4 linked regions of the Saccharomyces cerevisiae S288C genome follow. Changing the gene in region 4 together with the main gene of any one other region gives a genetic interaction. Each region holds a gene or a part of one and is shown on either strand. Other genes may lie near its edges. The genes, in order: HOM6, SSP2, MCK1 and HOM2.

Region 1 (4,484 bases), on a different chromosome or scaffold from region 4:
TTGTTCTACGTATCCAGCTTACAGTCCCTGGGTTTGTATAAAATGAGAAAGAAGTCTATGCAAGCAAGACCTTCTGAATTAGACTCCATTATCAGAATGTTAAAGAATGACATTATATACAACACAAACCGTTTCGAAAGTTGGATATTACTCGGAAAGTGTTACAGTTATATTGTTGAAGATGATTTAATATGGACCTCAGATAAGATCACTGTCCCTGAGAAAAAAGATGTTATTGCTTTGACTCAAAGAAAGGCAATATTGTGTTATTTAATGGCCATTTCCATTTATTATAGTAAGTTGGATCGAACTATTGACGATAAAAAGATTATATTGGAGGCATTGGATGACTTAGGATCTATGCTGATTAGCGGCTACTATAATCCCATGAATAAGCTTTGTTTTAGCTGGAAAAGCAGTGCTGAGAATACAATGAGATTGTCTGAAACCGGTGAAGTAGTAATGGAAAAAACTAAGAAAATCACCACAATCTCAGACTTTAACATCGAGCAAAGTATATTTTTATGTTTTAATAGGGCTTGTTCTTTATCCGGCGATATCAAGTCACAGGACGATGTATTCGTGTTGAATTGGTCTAGTTTTTACAATCTGGCCAAGTTCTTTTTCAAAACAGATGGTGGTAATAATTGTAAATTAGTTGCCAAATATATTACTCAGGGTTGCCAAATAGCTTATGAGTCATCACCTGCTAAAGATCCGATCATAGAACCCCATTATCTGTTAGTTAATGCTTGTTACAAGTGGGTAAAAAGAGGCGTCATAGGTGTTAACGAAGCTCTGACCTTACTGTCTAAAGATAACCAATTCTTCCAGGAACAAGAGGAATTTTGGGTCAACGACGAAGGTCTTGCATGGGATTATCAAGAAAAATTCTTTTTTGACAAAATCATAAGACTACTTCGCCATTTACTATCTGTTGATAAAAAAAAATGGCAGCACAGACCTCGTTACAGAATAGCGCGCATATTGTTTGACGATTTGGGTGATGTGAACGGTGCTTTGGAGGAGATGGATAGCTTAATATCCGCAAAAAGTATAAACAAAAACTTGGTCAATATATGGAAACCAGATTTTGAAAGGCCAGGGAAACATTTCATCTATACTTACCAGTACCTGGTTTTGTATTTGGATTTACTCTTCGCAATAAAAGACTTCAATACAACAGGTCTTGTTATAAAAAAGCTAAGGCGATTTGGTTCTGGAACTGTGAACGTAAACGAACTATTAGAGCGTGCCATTAATGTGTACACGCAAAGTGCCAAAATCAAGCTGCAATTGCAAGACAAGAGCTACGTGGAGCAAATCCTTCCAACCTTGAACTACCAAGAATTCCTGAAGATTAGTGAGCAACTGAACCAAGTTTTCGACCAAGGAAAGTACCCTGAAGAAATATCATCCGGGTTAAAACTTGCTTTCCAGTTGAAAAAGGGACATAGCGGAATTGCATTTGACAGCGTTTGCTTGGGCATTTATTTCGAGTATCTCTATTTTCCTCTAGCTCGACAGGATCAATCCCTCACAGACGTGAACGATGAAAACAATCCAGCACTACCGTCATCAGGTTCTGTGACATCAAAAAGCACTCCAGACCCTACTTCTAAGCCAAGTGCAATTAAGAAACGTGTTACAAAGAAGGAAGTCTTCGATAGAGTGAGGCTATTAGTGGATAAGATCACGTGAGTTTTTCAATAACGCACATGGTGGTGTACGGGTGTGTTGATGACCATATTTTGGAAGAAGTGTGCCCTGGTGGTAAAGTTGGGTTGAATGGAACAGAAATGTATAAAGAATATGTAAATATTGCGGTTAGCGATAGACAATTTGTTGAAGCTAAATCTTCTGTGTGTGTACTCAGGACTGTTTTAAGAACGTAGATAGTATCATCAATCGAATAATAAAAAAAAAATGAGCACTAAAGTTGTTAATGTTGCCGTTATCGGTGCCGGTGTTGTTGGTTCAGCTTTCTTGGATCAATTGTTAGCCATGAAGTCTACCATTACTTACAATCTAGTTCTTTTGGCTGAAGCTGAGCGTTCTTTAATCTCCAAGGACTTTTCTCCATTAAATGTTGGTTCTGATTGGAAGGCTGCTTTAGCAGCCTCCACTACTAAAACGTTGCCTTTGGATGATTTAATTGCTCATTTGAAGACTTCACCTAAGCCAGTCATTTTGGTTGATAACACTTCCAGCGCTTACATTGCTGGTTTTTACACTAAGTTTGTCGAAAATGGTATTTCCATTGCTACTCCAAACAAGAAGGCCTTTTCCTCTGATTTGGCTACCTGGAAGGCTCTTTTCTCAAATAAGCCAACTAACGGTTTTGTCTATCATGAAGCTACCGTCGGTGCTGGTTTGCCTATCATCAGTTTCTTAAGAGAAATTATTCAAACCGGTGACGAAGTTGAAAAAATTGAAGGTATCTTCTCTGGTACTCTATCTTATATTTTCAACGAGTTCTCCACTAGTCAAGCTAACGACGTCAAATTCTCTGATGTTGTCAAAGTTGCTAAAAAATTGGGTTATACTGAACCAGATCCAAGAGATGATTTGAATGGGTTGGATGTTGCTAGAAAGGTTACCATTGTTGGTAGGATATCTGGTGTGGAAGTTGAATCTCCAACTTCCTTCCCTGTCCAGTCTTTGATTCCAAAACCATTGGAATCTGTCAAGTCTGCTGATGAATTCTTGGAAAAATTATCTGATTACGATAAAGATTTGACTCAATTGAAGAAGGAAGCTGCCACTGAAAATAAGGTATTGAGATTCATTGGTAAAGTCGATGTTGCCACCAAATCTGTGTCTGTAGGAATTGAAAAGTACGATTACTCACACCCATTCGCATCATTGAAGGGATCAGATAACGTTATTTCCATCAAGACTAAGCGTTACACCAATCCTGTTGTCATTCAAGGTGCCGGTGCCGGTGCTGCCGTTACTGCCGCTGGTGTTTTGGGTGATGTTATCAAGATTGCTCAAAGACTTTAGATCAGTAAACAGACATATAAAAACATAGGTATATTTATATATAAATAGATAACATTATGCTTTACTATCCACGTTCGAATATTATTTACTTTGTGAAGAAACTCATCCATGTCATGGGGCTACTCAATCTTCTACAATCTTTCCTGTAATCCACATTTCCTTTGCGTCAAGGAAAATTGACCTTAACTTCTGATAGTCCAAGCAAGTTGATTTGAAATTTAGGATCACTTTTTGAGCATCTAATGAAGAGCTTGAAGCAGAATGAATTTTCCCGATTATGTTTCCCGGATTCACTCTGGATATATAAATGTTGTTAGGAGCTAAAAATAGGCAGCCATTTTCCCTCAATTCCGCGACGTAAGCACCCGTATGATGAATATATTGAACATATTTGAACTGTGGTTTGCCCCATGAATACATGATGTCAAACTCTATATCTTGATTTTGTAAAAATTTGGATGCCCTATTGTCTAATAAAAACCCAGATGCCTTTAAAAGATAAACGTGGTAGTAGAATTTGCTTTTAGCGAAAAGCTCCCTATCCTTGAACTCAGGATCTTCCCAAGGATTGATAGCTAACTTAATTTCCACAAAAGAGTGAAATGGATTGACCGAAGGGATAGTACAAAGTTCTTCCCAAGGAATTTCAATCATTTTCAAACCGTACCTTTCGCATAACCTTGACCAGTTCCCAACCAAATCATCGATCAATTTTGGGGTGGTAGTCAACCATTCCAATCTTATGTGAAAACAGTGGTCGGGGTTATGAACTCTGTCATAATGGACTGTACACGATTCTTGTTTCGAGGATTTTCCCGCGGGATCAACATCGATAACAAGAGAGTTACTCAGCATTAAAATAGGGCGTGATGGCTCTTTGGCGTCAGCAACTGAAGCATTCGAAGCGCTTATAGCAGGTACTACTGAAGAAAAAGGAGTCATAGCGCTTGGATCGTTTGAGCTACCAGTGGATGCTTTTCTCAACATCTGCTTTGGATCGGATAATGTAGAGCGATGGGAGTTTGTTTTTTCTAGTTTATTAGTGTCCATTACGTATTCAGGTGAGAACTGGTAAAAGTAGTGCCCGTCCAAAAAATTGTGCTTATTTAAAACGTGAACAAATAATCCCTCTTTCATCACCTTCTGCCCATATTTAATTGCATCTTCTCGAGTATCTATATCAGAGAAGTTTCTTATGAGCCAATTAACCATCTCCGAGCCAACAAAACACTTTTCATGCTTTTTCCAGTGCCATTTTCTGTTGACTAAAGTAATGCGATCTTCGCCACGTTGAATTTGATACGCCAACTTGGATAGTTCTACATTTCTGTTTAAAAGGTTATTATCATTAACAAAAATTGAATCTTTAAAATTTATAGCCGAGCTTTCTAAAGATGTTTGTTGCTCATTAATGAAGTTGTAAAGCGGGCCGGTGTAAAACATAACTTCAGGCTGTATTTCTTCTCTCTTAGTTTTTC
Region 2 (3,304 bases), on a different chromosome or scaffold from region 4:
ATTGTCGAAGAGAAAGAAGATCTTGCTCTTCAACCAACAAAGCAGAGATGCCAACGCTCTTGTGAATAACCTGTACTCATCTGTTTCGCCAGAAATAACGTTCGATGATGTGATATTTACTACTAATGTCACTTGGAAATCAGGCTCATACAGCGCTGACCTCGTTTCCATGAACACTTCTCAAGAAGATGTAGAAAAATTGAAAGTCCAGGAGTCATTAGTCAAGAATTGGAACAAAATAGACGATAATCGTGCTAAAACGCATGTAACGGCTAGTATAGAGGAAGCAAATGAATTGATTGAAACGCTATACGATGAACCTGCTGATATATTTGTAACTGGTTCATTACATCTTGTTGGCGGATTATTGGTCGTTTTTGATAGAATAGATGTAAAGTAATTTGAAAGTAACTTGCACTTTAAAAATCGTACATAATGGACTTCATTTGCATTTATTTATTTGTTGAAGAGTAATTTAGTTATCAACTTAAAAATTCGTACTACAAGTCAATGCAAGGCTGGTCTGTAATATCTTTCCCGTACCATATTGTCCATGTTTTAAAATATTTATTATATAGATATGAGCCCTTTTGTTCGTATTCTTCCATAGCTCTCATAGCACTGGAAATATCGTAAAAGAATATAGATACGCATAATTTTCTTGATACAATAGGCGTAATTTCTAGAACCTCTCCAAAATTCTGAAAATCTTTTTCTAATTCTTGAATATCAATGTTTTCTAAAGTTTGCCCTTTATTCAGATTTGATTTGTTAGGCATTGCTGTTGTCGAGCTTTTTTTCACTATCAAACATCTTGATATGAACTTTTCCTCTTCTATTATTCTGTTGACAGATTGCTCTTTCATTATGTTTTCATATGTGCTCTCGAGGAATATCCATTCTGGTTTTAATTGAACTCCATTAACTTTAAAAATATTTGTTTTTGCGTATCTCATAAAAGATTGAGCTCCCTCGTAATTTAAGAAGAAAAGATCAACTTTATGCAAAGAACGTTCCGGAGTATCGTACCTATAGACAATAATTCTTTCTAAGGAACCTCCGCGTACTTGAGACAATACACTAGAGATGCCTGTGCCGCGCGGTATATCGTTTAATGAAATTGATCTTGTTTTGAGAAGAGCGGGATTCTGAGAACCTGCCGTTTTCTCATCAACAACCTCTGATTCTTCTGAATATACTTTTCCCTTGAAAATTAAATCCTGATTAACGTATTCTCCATTCTCATAAAATTTGTTGACGGCTGCTTCTGTTTGCTTATTACTGTCATCATCTATGGGAAAAAAACAACCCTGTGAATGGTGCTGCCTTTTCCAAAGCTGTTGATCGTTTTTATCTTCTTTTTTTAAACGTCTTTTGTTTACATTTGCCCCAACTGGTGTATATGAATCTGTACCACATGAACCTATCTCACGACCAAACAGATATGCTTTTGCAAATCGTCTAAAACCTATGAATTCGTTTCCATTCGAACTAGACGAGTCATTGAAAAATGAAAAAAAAGATGATCTTCTCGATCTCAAAGCTTTCTTCCTCAAACTTCCAGAGTCTTTATGCTTTTTATAAACTTCTGTGTTTGAATAATAGTTCTTGTACATTTGACCGGATTAAATGCTTCGTATTTTATTATTATTTTACCTTCGTTGGATTCCCGACTTCAATACGCGAGAATATATCTGTCTTTTTGTTTATAAAATATTGATAGCTACAGTATAATAATTTTCCTCTATTAGGTCCTTCTTGTTGAGAAACGTGGTTGTATCCTTTGATAAGATATATCTAGAAGGTGTTGTTTATATTTAAAAAGGCTTTATCTTTGTGTGCGATGCGCAGATACATATTTACCGACGCCTGAAGTGACACGACACGGACACAACAATAGTGTATGAGGGAAAGAGCTTCCGACAAAAAAAGTAAACTAATATACATGAATATTGCACCTCGTATAACCTTAGATATTCTCCTTAACATCACACATGTCGCCACGGCGAGAAGTCTCAAGCTTCATGAGTTCACGTAATGCCATGGTGGCATATGCGGAGGTTCCTAATTGAAATTTTAACACCACCGCAGTCTTCTCACCGCCTTTATCTGGCATATATCTGTCCAACTTGGCTTTCATATACTTCTGGCCGCTTTCTTTTGCTCTGGTGTTATTCAGGATGTCCAAATCAGTGTTCACCAATTGTTGAGAAGGATCATCATAGTGAATTATTCTATACTCTAAACTCTTTGGCTTTTGAATAACAGTTCTATAAGAGCCAGCCAATGAAAAATCGCGAACTTTTCTTCTCATATTAAATGGGTCCATATTATCTGCTTTCAATATATCCACATACAGTTGCTTCAATTCTTCGTTGGAAGGATAAAGCACATCAAAACCCGGCGATGGTAACACGACATCTTCCATGGTATACTTAACTGAGTCGATATCCTCTTGAGTTACTGCTTTTGCACGAATGAACTGAGCTTCACGGACATCTTCATCAAAGTCTTCATCGTCAATCCCAGAAATTAGTGGTGACTTTTCACTAGTATCAATGACAAGGTCACCTACAACTAACTTCAAACCATGTAGTTCTATCCGCTTACTAGCAATAGAATTCCAGACGTAACTTTGGTAGGCATGTACATACATAGTTCTCAAATTTCTGGGAATTTTCATAATAGCAGTATAATAAGCGTTCTCAGAATAAGTTCCATCTTCTTCTTTTCTTTGATTAGATAAAGAATATAGTAACGCATTTTCTGCGAGACACTGTCTTGGCATCTGCTTCAATGCTAAAGCCGCGTCCTTAGTTTCTGCCCAAATCTTCCTAGCTTCCTTAGATTTAGGAAGCACGTTATCCTGGTCAGATAAAATCAACTCAGCAGCCTTCTTCCAGTTTGAAAGGAGCAATTCTCTACCAATTGTGTGCGTAGAAATACTGAATGTACCGAATCTCTGCATACCAAAATAATTGATAAACCCATTTTCTGATAAAGACTTACAGCCGTTAGACACAATTTCTTCCAGTGATACCTCACTATTGCCGGTGGTAACATCTCTAATAACAACAACGAACTCATTTCCCTTCAAGTCTCCCAGATTCAAACTTGCATCCGAAAAATTGTAATTTCCGATAATCATTCCTTTTAAAGTCCTATTTAAAGCATTTAGTCTATCCAAACCAATCTTTGAAATCGAAACCCTTTGGCACGTTACTGCTCTACGATCCTTAGTACCTGCATATCTAATTACACGGCTTGGAACTCTTAACAACTTTGTTATAACATTGACAGCTTC
Region 3 (4,267 bases), on a different chromosome or scaffold from region 4:
CTCCTTCTCTGCTTTTATTTGCTCTTTAATTTTTCTTTTTTCCTCTCTTTTTCTTCTGCGTGAAGAGTCATCGGATCTTCTTAGTGTAGCTTGACTACGTGCATAAGATATAATTTCAGCTGCGTTTGGGTCCTCGTACCTAAAATTGTAGGCATTCTCAAATTTTTCTGCAGCATCTTCAAATTCTTCATCGTCCTCTTCATTATTGTTGAGGTCAAGAGAAATCACCTTGTCCCCCTTCTTAGGAATCCAGGCCTGTTGATTCACAAATTCTTCCAAGAAATTTTCTTCATTTACGGTTGGATCCGGTAAATTTTTTCCTTCCTTCTTCGTAGAAGGTTCCTTTTTCTTCAAAAACCCATCGTCTTCATCTCCGCTAGACTCTTCATTTTCTTCATCGCTAAAGGCACTCTTGATTTCATTTAAAAGCTGAGTTTTCTCTTCACGTTGTTGCGAGACGAAAGATTGCTTTCCGTCAACAGTTGCATGTTCGTATTCTTCGTCATCCTCCTTTAAGGCATCACCAGAAAGTATGTTCATACGGTGATAATCTTTTAGGTAAATAGGTTTATGCTTCCCCTCACGATTGGCCAGTTTGGCAGCAGCAGATTCGGGATCCTCGAAGAATTTGACTTTAGGATCTAGTAGTTTGTCCGTCTTATTGTTTTTGATGGCATCTAGCACTTGATTAATACCGTTTTCCACTTCATCAGTAATCAATTCACCGTAATCATCTTCCTCCTCTTCTTCCTCTTCGTCTTCTTCCTCATCTTCACTAGGAACGTACGATTTGCTTGCTTCGATTGCAGGCTTAACTGTCGTCGCAGAGGTTTCAGAAGTTTTTATGGTAGCAGTATCCGTTGCAGGTACGGCCGCTTCTTTTTTTGCTTGTTCTCTAGCTCTTTTAGCGGCAGACTTTTTTCTTGGCATTGAATTTAGGGTATATCACACTGTTGTTGAAAACTATGAGCATTTTGCTTTCTGAAGAAATGGTTCTGTTAACTAGATGAGATGAGATTGATATATTTGAAAAATTTTAACCGATGACCTTGCGGCTCCTCCGGGTAATACTTTTTTCTCACATAAATATCAAAAAATAACGACGGTATTTCAATAATACTTTTATATAAGTAATGATAACATGCGAGGCAATTTATTACAAGCCACGTAGGCCTAATTAAAATTATAAACTAACACTAAAGTAATAATAATATTTCAGATTAATAAAAGAACAGGAAATAGGAAAGAGATAAAAAAAAATTAGGAACATAAAATAAAAAATAAAGAAGAAATTGAAGGAGTGACTGGATAAAAGAAGTGTATGATAATATCAAATGGAAATTTGAATATATTTTATTCCAAAAAATTTTTTTTCTTTTCCAAGTGAAATATAAACAGCGGATCAAAGGTGAAAAAAATCATAGTATTTTGTTCATTAAATTTTCCGAGGGGAAAGAGAACAAATTAATAGAAAATTATTATTCAGCAACTTTCGTAGGTTTAATTTTATCAGCAAATTCACCCAGAATTTGTAACTCAAAATCATTAAAATCAAACAAATTTGGTAGCTTGATTGGTTCAGTGAAACCTCTTGGTAAGAAAGTGTCATCATTCCTTAATTCATTAAAGAACTGATGGGCAAGGATTCTTCTTGGAGACAGTCTTTGTTGTGGTTCGTAGACCAATATTTTCATCAAAAGATCGATACCATCTGGACCGGAATGGCCAAAATACTTCTCAAACCTCTGTTGCGAAGAGCCCGAGAACAGTGGTTTGGAAAATAGAGGGCCATCGTAGGCCGGATTCGAAAAGAAAATGAATCTTTTATCGGGAGGACCTAACAATTTAGCAATTTCCCTTAGCTGTAGAAGGGGTTCTTGACCTTGAAATATGGCTTTGCCGATAAGCATCTCGCCCATGACACAACCAAGCCCCCATATATCGATCTGGGTGGTATATTGGGTACAACCAATGATCAATTCAGGCGCTCTATAAAATCTTGAACAGATGTAACTAATTGAAGGCTGGTTATGTTCCAATTTTTTGGCAGACCCAAAATCGCAGATTTTCAAGACACCGGTTTCCGGGTCTACAAGAACATTGGATGGTTTGATATCACGATGACAAACGCCAAGACCGTGTAAATAAAGCATCCCGCGGGCAATCTGATAAGTGTATAGCCTGATATGTTTTAATGGCATTTCTAGCTTGTTTGTCACATAACGATTAATCTCGATTTGTAGAGTTTCTGGTAAGCATTCCATGGCAAGGTGTTGATAAACTTTATTATCTTGCGGGGACAAATGAGTAAAGAAATACTGCAATTTAACGATATTTGGATGGTCGGCAATCCTCAGAATCTGTAATTCCCTGGACTTGTACTCGGTATGAGCAGGGACTTTTTTAATTGCAAAGGGGCCCAACCAGTTTTTCTTATCCTGGGTTAAATATGCTTGTACAACAGTCCCAAAGGCACCTCTACCGATTTTCCTGTACTCTTTCACCAGCATCCGCCTCGTGTTGTTCGATTTATTCGAGGTTACATCGTCTGCAATGAATTCAGATCCCCTTTGCAGAGGAACACCATTCTGCTCTTCCGTAGACATATGTACTAGAATGTGATGGAGTGGGGGTTTCGGAAAATAAAAAGAAAATTGAAAGATGAAGCAAAGAACTCTGTAGTCTTGGGCTTAACTCCTATCAATAAACACGTTACGGGCCTGCCCACACTACTAACACGACACAATGGCACTCACTTGCGAAATCTATGTCGTTTTCCCTTGGAGGTTACGCCTGCCCTCTTCCGCATATGAAGGTCGCTTTTTTCAGTGTTGTTTGTGGGTCACTGAACTGTCATTACATACGAACTGAGTGGAAGCAAGAATGCTGCTTTCGAAAGCCACTACAGCTACGTGTGATCATATAATTCCTGCATAATATGGCTGCATGCTTTTTAATGATAGCTTCAATTATGATGATAATCACTGAGCTACTAGTATTCCATTATTCAGCCTAAGATTGGAACTTTCTATAGCAGCGGAGAGTGTTTGTTTCGTACTTCGTGACTGTTTGGCATAATAACGATGAATTGGGAAAGAGGGAAGACAAAATGAGAGTAAATCAGGTGGAAAGCAGTGGTTCTTCTGAAAAGAAAAAGTGACAGTGTGAACTGTTATAGTTACGTGTGATGCTGTTACAACCTGTTTGGAAAGGCTGCCGATGGACGCAGTTTGTCAGGCCTATCAGAAGATGGAATTCTACCGGCACGAATAGAGGAGTTCCTTTTTCATTTAAGGATATTTCAAATCAGGAGGATATCACGAATATCTCGTATCCTTCGTCCTCTGACTCAGTTTTGACAAAGTCAAATGGTAGTAGTGAGGTTTACAAGCCCAAAGAGGAAGTAGTTAAGTACATTCTACATGGCAAGTTTACTAAAAATAACACGCATTTGACATTTTCAAGCGTTGTGGAGGACAAGAACTTTCATAAGAATAAGGGACTTACGTATAATGATACAATGCTGTACTATTTGAACTTACCCCAGAAAGTGAAGATTTCGCTATCTACAGGTTGTTTAGGGTTTAGGAAGGCAGCAAGAGGGGAGTATGAAGCTGCATTTCAAACCAGTGGTAGAATGTTTGAATTGATTAAGGAAAAGAACATGCTGAACAAAGATATCGAAGTGGTGATGGACGACTTTGGGAAGGGCAGAGCTGCTTTTATTTCCGCTCTTGTTGGTAAGGAAGGGGCCAGTGTGGTGAAAAAGGTTGTGAAGATCAGCGATGCCACCAAATTGAAGTTTGGTGGTGTAAGATCACCAAAGATGAGAAGACTATGATCAGCTCCCACTATGTATGAATTATAAACTATGTAAAAGAAGAAGAAATATATATATATTCGTGTAAATAATTCGATTTTTCCCTTTTTTTAATTGTCGTCGTTAGAGTTGGCCAAAATCCTTAAAATAGACAAAAACAAATTGACGATGTCCAGGTAAAGCATCATGGCGCATCTAACTTCTTCATCAGGATACACTTTCCTAAAAATCAGTTGCGTATCGATGAAAAGATACGCGGTAAATAAAATGGCACCAAGCCAGCCGTAAAGCAGATTAAACTTGGAAGAGTGGGTATTCCAGCCGAAAAGCAAGGCCGTGAGACCCATTCCGATCATAATCCATAGACCCCAGTTTAACCAATAGTATATTGACGTTGCGGAATTCAGCACGTTCTCGAATCTCTCTGATAGTGCGGTCAAGGAAACG
Region 4 (4,517 bases):
AGTGTTATCATTATTTCCATGCCCTTTGAAAAAATTGAAATTAGTGGAAGGCACTACTGAGCCAAATGATGTGTTCATTTAAGGGATACCTTCCAAGAGTATTACCTGAAATGAGTACCAACAGTGCTATTGTGAGTGTATCCCAGCTTTGAGATATGTCTGCTGCTTTCCTCTCTCCTTTTTTTTCCCATGTAAATGAGTTGTTTGTATGCATCACTACGCTCTCTGTTTAGCTTTTTTCTTGGGTCAGCGAGAGAATTACCTTTTCTTGAAGTGGAAGAAAAATAATAAAGGCTTGGTATTATACTATTGAAAAGAAAAGAAAAGAAAAAATAATGAACATTGAATCACGAATTCTCGAAACTCAAGAAACTAATAATAAAGATCTACGTTTCAAATTATTATACGTATATTCATACACATATACTTATTTACTTGTTTTGTATTTTTTGTTCGTTCGAAAAAAAAGTAAGATGAAGACATAACTTTGCAATTTTTCCTTAAATCAAGTTTCTTGCTAGTAAGATTTCGGCAATCAAGACACCAGAACCAGCGGCACCAATAATGGTGTTGTGGGAAAGGACAACCATTTTGAAATCTAACAATGGGTCTTCTCTGATTCTACCAACGGAAACACCGTAACCGCTGTCTCTGTTCCTGTCCAACCTTGGTTGAGGTCTGTCTGGTTGTTCCAAAACATGAATAGTTTGCTTTGGAGCAGAATGACAGCCTAATTTGTAGGCATCGCAGACGTATTCTTTTAGGCATGTCTTGACTTGCTCGACGGATGGAGCAGGTCTGTTCTTGAACCTCAAAGAGATACATTCGGTGTGCCCATCGGAAACAGCGACTCTGTTACATTGAGCAGAGACTTTGATTTCTTCTGGAGTCAATAGTTTGACGTGTGTCTTGTCTTCTGCTAATGGAGCCAAGATTTTCTTGGTCTCCCATTCCATCTTGTCTTCTTCACCACCAATGTATGGAATAATATTGTCTAGAATATCAATACCTGGTACACCTGGGGAGAAACCAGCACCTGAGATTGCTTGCAAAGTAGTAGTGGTCAAAGCATCAATAGGACCGAATTTTTCAATCAAAGGCTTCAATGGTGCAACCAAACCTGCAGTGGAACAATTGGAAATACAGATAATGAACCCTGGTCTTGGCTTACCTTGAGCCTTGGCGGTGTCAAGCTTTTGAGCTACAATATCCAAATGCTCAGGATTGACAACAGGAACAATCAATGGCACATCTTGTTCTCTTCTATAATTCTTGGCATTGGAAACAATGGCGATACCAGCTTCCATGAATTCCTTTTCGATAGCGCCAGCATAGTCAGCATCCAATCCGGAAAAGACGATGTCACACTCTTTAAAGAATTCAGATTTACATTCGGAAACAATAATATCGGTAGCAGATTCCGGTAGCAAATCGGTTTGCTTCCAGTTCACAGCGTCAACGTATTTCTTGCCAGCTGATCTAGAAGAGGCACCAAGAACTTTCAGTTCGAAATGAGGGTGATTTGCCAACAACAGAATGAAACGTTGACCAACGGAACCAGTAGCACCCAAAACACCAGCAATTTTCTTTCCAGCCATTTTAGAACGCTTTATTTCTACAATTTAATTTGTATGTGTACTTAAGTGAAAACAAGAAAAACAAGATTTAATTTTATACTCGAAAGTGAATGAACAAATAAATATGGTTCTTTTATTTATTTTTTCTGCTTTTCTATTTTTCTCTAACATTTTGAACTGGTAGTAGTCAGAGGAAAATGAGTCAATCAATGCTTGACAACATGATTTGGAAAAAAAAAAAGTGTGAAAAAAAAGAAAACCGGGTACTTTGAGGCCGCTGCCGGTGATATTTGGATCTGGAAAGAAAGAGAAAAAAAAGCACTGAAGACGTTCAGATGTCAGAATTCTAACTGATATGCATATATTGTAGTATACAGAAGGCGTATGTGAATGGATATGTAGGATTTTGTGTAAAAGGGCAAGGCTGCTGCTACAGGTCTCACTCATCGGCGAATGTAGTTTTCTTGCCGCCGGTGGCACTAACACCTATGCTTGTCTCCTTCTTCTCCGTCGTGGAGACCTGAATGGGCGCGGCGGAAAAGTCTTGGGCGGGTGGCAGACCCTTGAAGTCTCTCTGAATCCTCTTTAATTGCGATATGGAGCTGGAAAGGTTGGTGTCGATGTTGAGGCTGGTGTTAGCCACAGCGGCAGCGTCCGCGTCAGCGGCGTTGCCGCTGATGGTATTCATGGTAGTACTATCAATAATGTTCTCCTTCTCATCGATAAAGCTCTCCAGAAATTGAAGAACCTCGTCAGTAGAGACATGTTGGGGCAGCTGCGTGGCATGAATGACCACAGGCGTGTTTAGCGTGGTAGCAGTGTTATTACCTGTTCTTCTAGAACCTTTCATCATCTTGTATTATCGAAATCTTACCTCAGACGTCTCCAGTTCTGCTCTGCCTTACCGATGAGACCTCTATAATCAATGTGATTTAAACATATGCATCATCTTGAAGTAAGCTCGAAATGAAAAATTTTACACCCGCAATATGCTTACCCGTCGCTGTTAGATGTTACCCGCCTTTCGCCCCTTAGGGGTTTCCACCGCCCCCCTCGTCCTCTACGGTATTTTCTGGGGCGCCCAGCCCGCCACGTCCCGCCTCGTCTCGAATTTCTTCCTCTGCTAGACGGGCTTCCACGCGCTTCCACTCATTTCTGTCTCTGGTAATGGCCGTGGCCCTTCTCACTTTGGTTGGGCTTACGCTGACAAGTGTCTGTTCGATTCCCTGTATAAATATAAACGTATTCTCTTGAGCCTTCTATCCTTTTGCCACTGTCGTCATCATTTGTTCCTCCTTTTTCGCTAGATAGGTTATATTAAGATTTGTCTTGAATTTAATATCTCAACTCAATCCAAACTCAACCGCTAATACTACCATGTCCCAAGTCTATTTTGATGTCGAAGCTGATGGCCAACCAATTGGCCGTGTCGTTTTCAAGTTGTACAACGACATAGTCCCAAAGACTGCAGAAAACTTCAGAGCTCTATGTACCGGTGAAAAGGGATTCGGCTACGCTGGCTCTCCATTCCACAGAGTTATTCCAGACTTCATGTTGCAAGGTGGTGACTTCACTGCTGGTAACGGTACCGGCGGTAAGTCTATCTACGGTGGCAAATTCCCAGATGAAAACTTCAAGAAGCACCACGACAGACCAGGTTTGTTGTCCATGGCCAACGCCGGTCCAAACACCAACGGTTCTCAATTCTTCATCACCACCGTTCCATGCCCATGGTTGGACGGTAAGCATGTTGTCTTTGGTGAAGTTGTTGACGGTTACGACATCGTTAAGAAGGTTGAGTCCTTGGGTTCTCCTTCCGGTGCCACCAAGGCTAGAATTGTTGTTGCCAAGTCCGGTGAATTATAACCGCTCTGCCTGGAACAATACAGCAAAAATTGAAACGAACTATTCTCTCTTAAATTATATGTATATGTATAAGGTATGTGTATGTATGACAATCAATTCTTATAACTAACTCTTCCTACCTATATCGGAGTATGTTGCCAGGCTTGCCAACTAGCCAACTACCGCCTAGGTTATGCCTGTTAAGTTGACGCCGCCGGGTACCGCCCCCTGTTTTTCCCACGTTTCTTTCTTTCCTCTAGGTAACGGATTTTCGGCTTATTTTCCACAGCGAGAAAATTTTCTTTCTCCTGCACTTTTTTTCATATTCAGGTCCTTTGATCCATTCATTCATTCTTGTTTTAATTTCAATCTAGATTTTAGTTTTCGGTTGAATTTATCTTTAGTTTTTTATCAATAAGAATTGGTCTAGCTTATCTTTCCAGGCTGCTTATAGTTTACTTTTTTTAAAAAATTATATTTCTATCCAATATACAAATCGGAAGGGAAATTCATATACACAAATTAAACGTTCCAATTGCATAAATACCAACACCATACAAAATGGACTCATTATCAAAAAAGATTCAAAATTTAGGTATCCATGATATTAGAAATGCCGCAAGGTTTGCCCAAAACGTGATAGTCCAATATGAGCCTTATCAGATAGATATCCGTCGTGCTACAAATACCGATGCTTGGGGCCCCACACCGAAGCACCTCGCCAAGGTTTTAAGGAACAGATACCAAGTGCCGCTCTACTTGATGACAGAATACACGTTGAAAAGATTAGTCGACCATATCGCTACCAGGCCCAAGAACCTATACGAAAAGGCAAGAAAGGACTACGTTAATTATGGGTCCGAATGGAGGGTGGTCTTAAAATGTCTAGTAGTCATTGAATTCCTATTATTGAACGTCGACACAGGTGACGAACTGAATCAGATTAGATCATGTTTGCTCACTCATAAGCATATTTTAACCAGGGAGATTGCCCAATTCAAGGTAAAATTCTCCAATGATGGTAAAATGGAGATTCATGAGAGAGGTATTAGGAAAAAGGGAGAACTTATCTTGCAATACTTGGAAGACTCACAA

The links.
Region 1: mutations in HOM2 (region 4) and HOM6 together harm fitness less than expected from each alone (positive genetic interaction), as found in Saccharomyces cerevisiae (5 studies listed by BioGRID, with this or other methods).
Region 2: mutations in HOM2 (region 4) and SSP2 together harm fitness more than expected from each alone (negative genetic interaction), as found in Saccharomyces cerevisiae (2 studies listed by BioGRID).
Region 3: mutations in HOM2 (region 4) and MCK1 together harm fitness more than expected from each alone (negative genetic interaction), as found in Saccharomyces cerevisiae (3 studies listed by BioGRID).

The regions. Positions count from the first base shown.
Region 1 is NC_001142.9:687,967-692,450, reverse strand, and holds HOM6 (homoserine dehydrogenase), read left to right. Parts: upstream 1-1,926; coding exon 1,927-3,006; downstream 3,007-4,484. Other genes in the region: HIR3 (Hir3p), read left to right, coding at 1-1,701; GTPase-activating protein IML1, read right to left, coding at 3,130-4,484. UniProt on the Saccharomyces cerevisiae protein: Catalyzes the conversion of L-aspartate-beta-semialdehyde (L-Asa) to L-homoserine (L-Hse), the third step in the biosynthesis of amino acids that derive from aspartate (the aspartate family of amino acids), including methioinine and threonine, the latter of which is a precursor to isoleucine; production of homoserine leads to a branch-point in the pathway as it can either be O-phosphorylated for processing to threonine, or O-acylated for processing to methionine.
Region 2 is NC_001147.6:788,242-791,545, forward strand, and holds SSP2 (Ssp2p), read right to left. Parts: upstream 1,617-3,304; coding exon 501-1,616; downstream 1-500. Other genes in the region: MET7 (tetrahydrofolate synthase), read left to right, coding at 1-400; pseudouridine synthase PUS7, read right to left, coding at 1,970-3,304. UniProt on the Saccharomyces cerevisiae protein: Essential for sporulation and seems to have a role at the time of, or after, initiation of nuclear division. Appears to have a role in outer spore wall formation.
Region 3 is NC_001146.8:54,968-59,234, forward strand, and holds MCK1 (serine/threonine/tyrosine protein kinase MCK1), read right to left. Parts: upstream 2,607-4,267; coding exon 1,479-2,606; downstream 1-1,478. Other genes in the region: KRI1 (Kri1p), read right to left, coding at 1-930; mitochondrial 37S ribosomal protein uS11m MRPS18, read left to right, coding at 3,188-3,841; BXI1 (Bxi1p), read right to left, coding at 3,931-4,267. UniProt on the Saccharomyces cerevisiae protein: May be an autophosphorylating tyrosine kinase, a bifunctional (serine/tyrosine-specific) protein kinase, or a serine kinase that is a substrate for an associated tyrosine kinase.
Region 4 is NC_001136.10:767,438-771,954, reverse strand, and holds HOM2 (aspartate-semialdehyde dehydrogenase), read right to left. Parts: upstream 1,599-4,517; coding exon 501-1,598; downstream 1-500. Other genes in the region: SAC3 (Sac3p), read right to left, coding at 1-78; YDR157W (uncharacterized protein), read right to left, coding at 1,623-2,024; DNA-directed RNA polymerase I subunit RPA14, read right to left, coding at 2,017-2,430; peptidylprolyl isomerase CPR1, read left to right, coding at 2,955-3,443; ENT5 (Ent5p), read left to right, coding at 3,984-4,517. UniProt on the Saccharomyces cerevisiae protein: Catalyzes the NADPH-dependent formation of L-aspartate 4-semialdehyde (L-ASA) by the reductive dephosphorylation of 4-phospho-L-aspartate.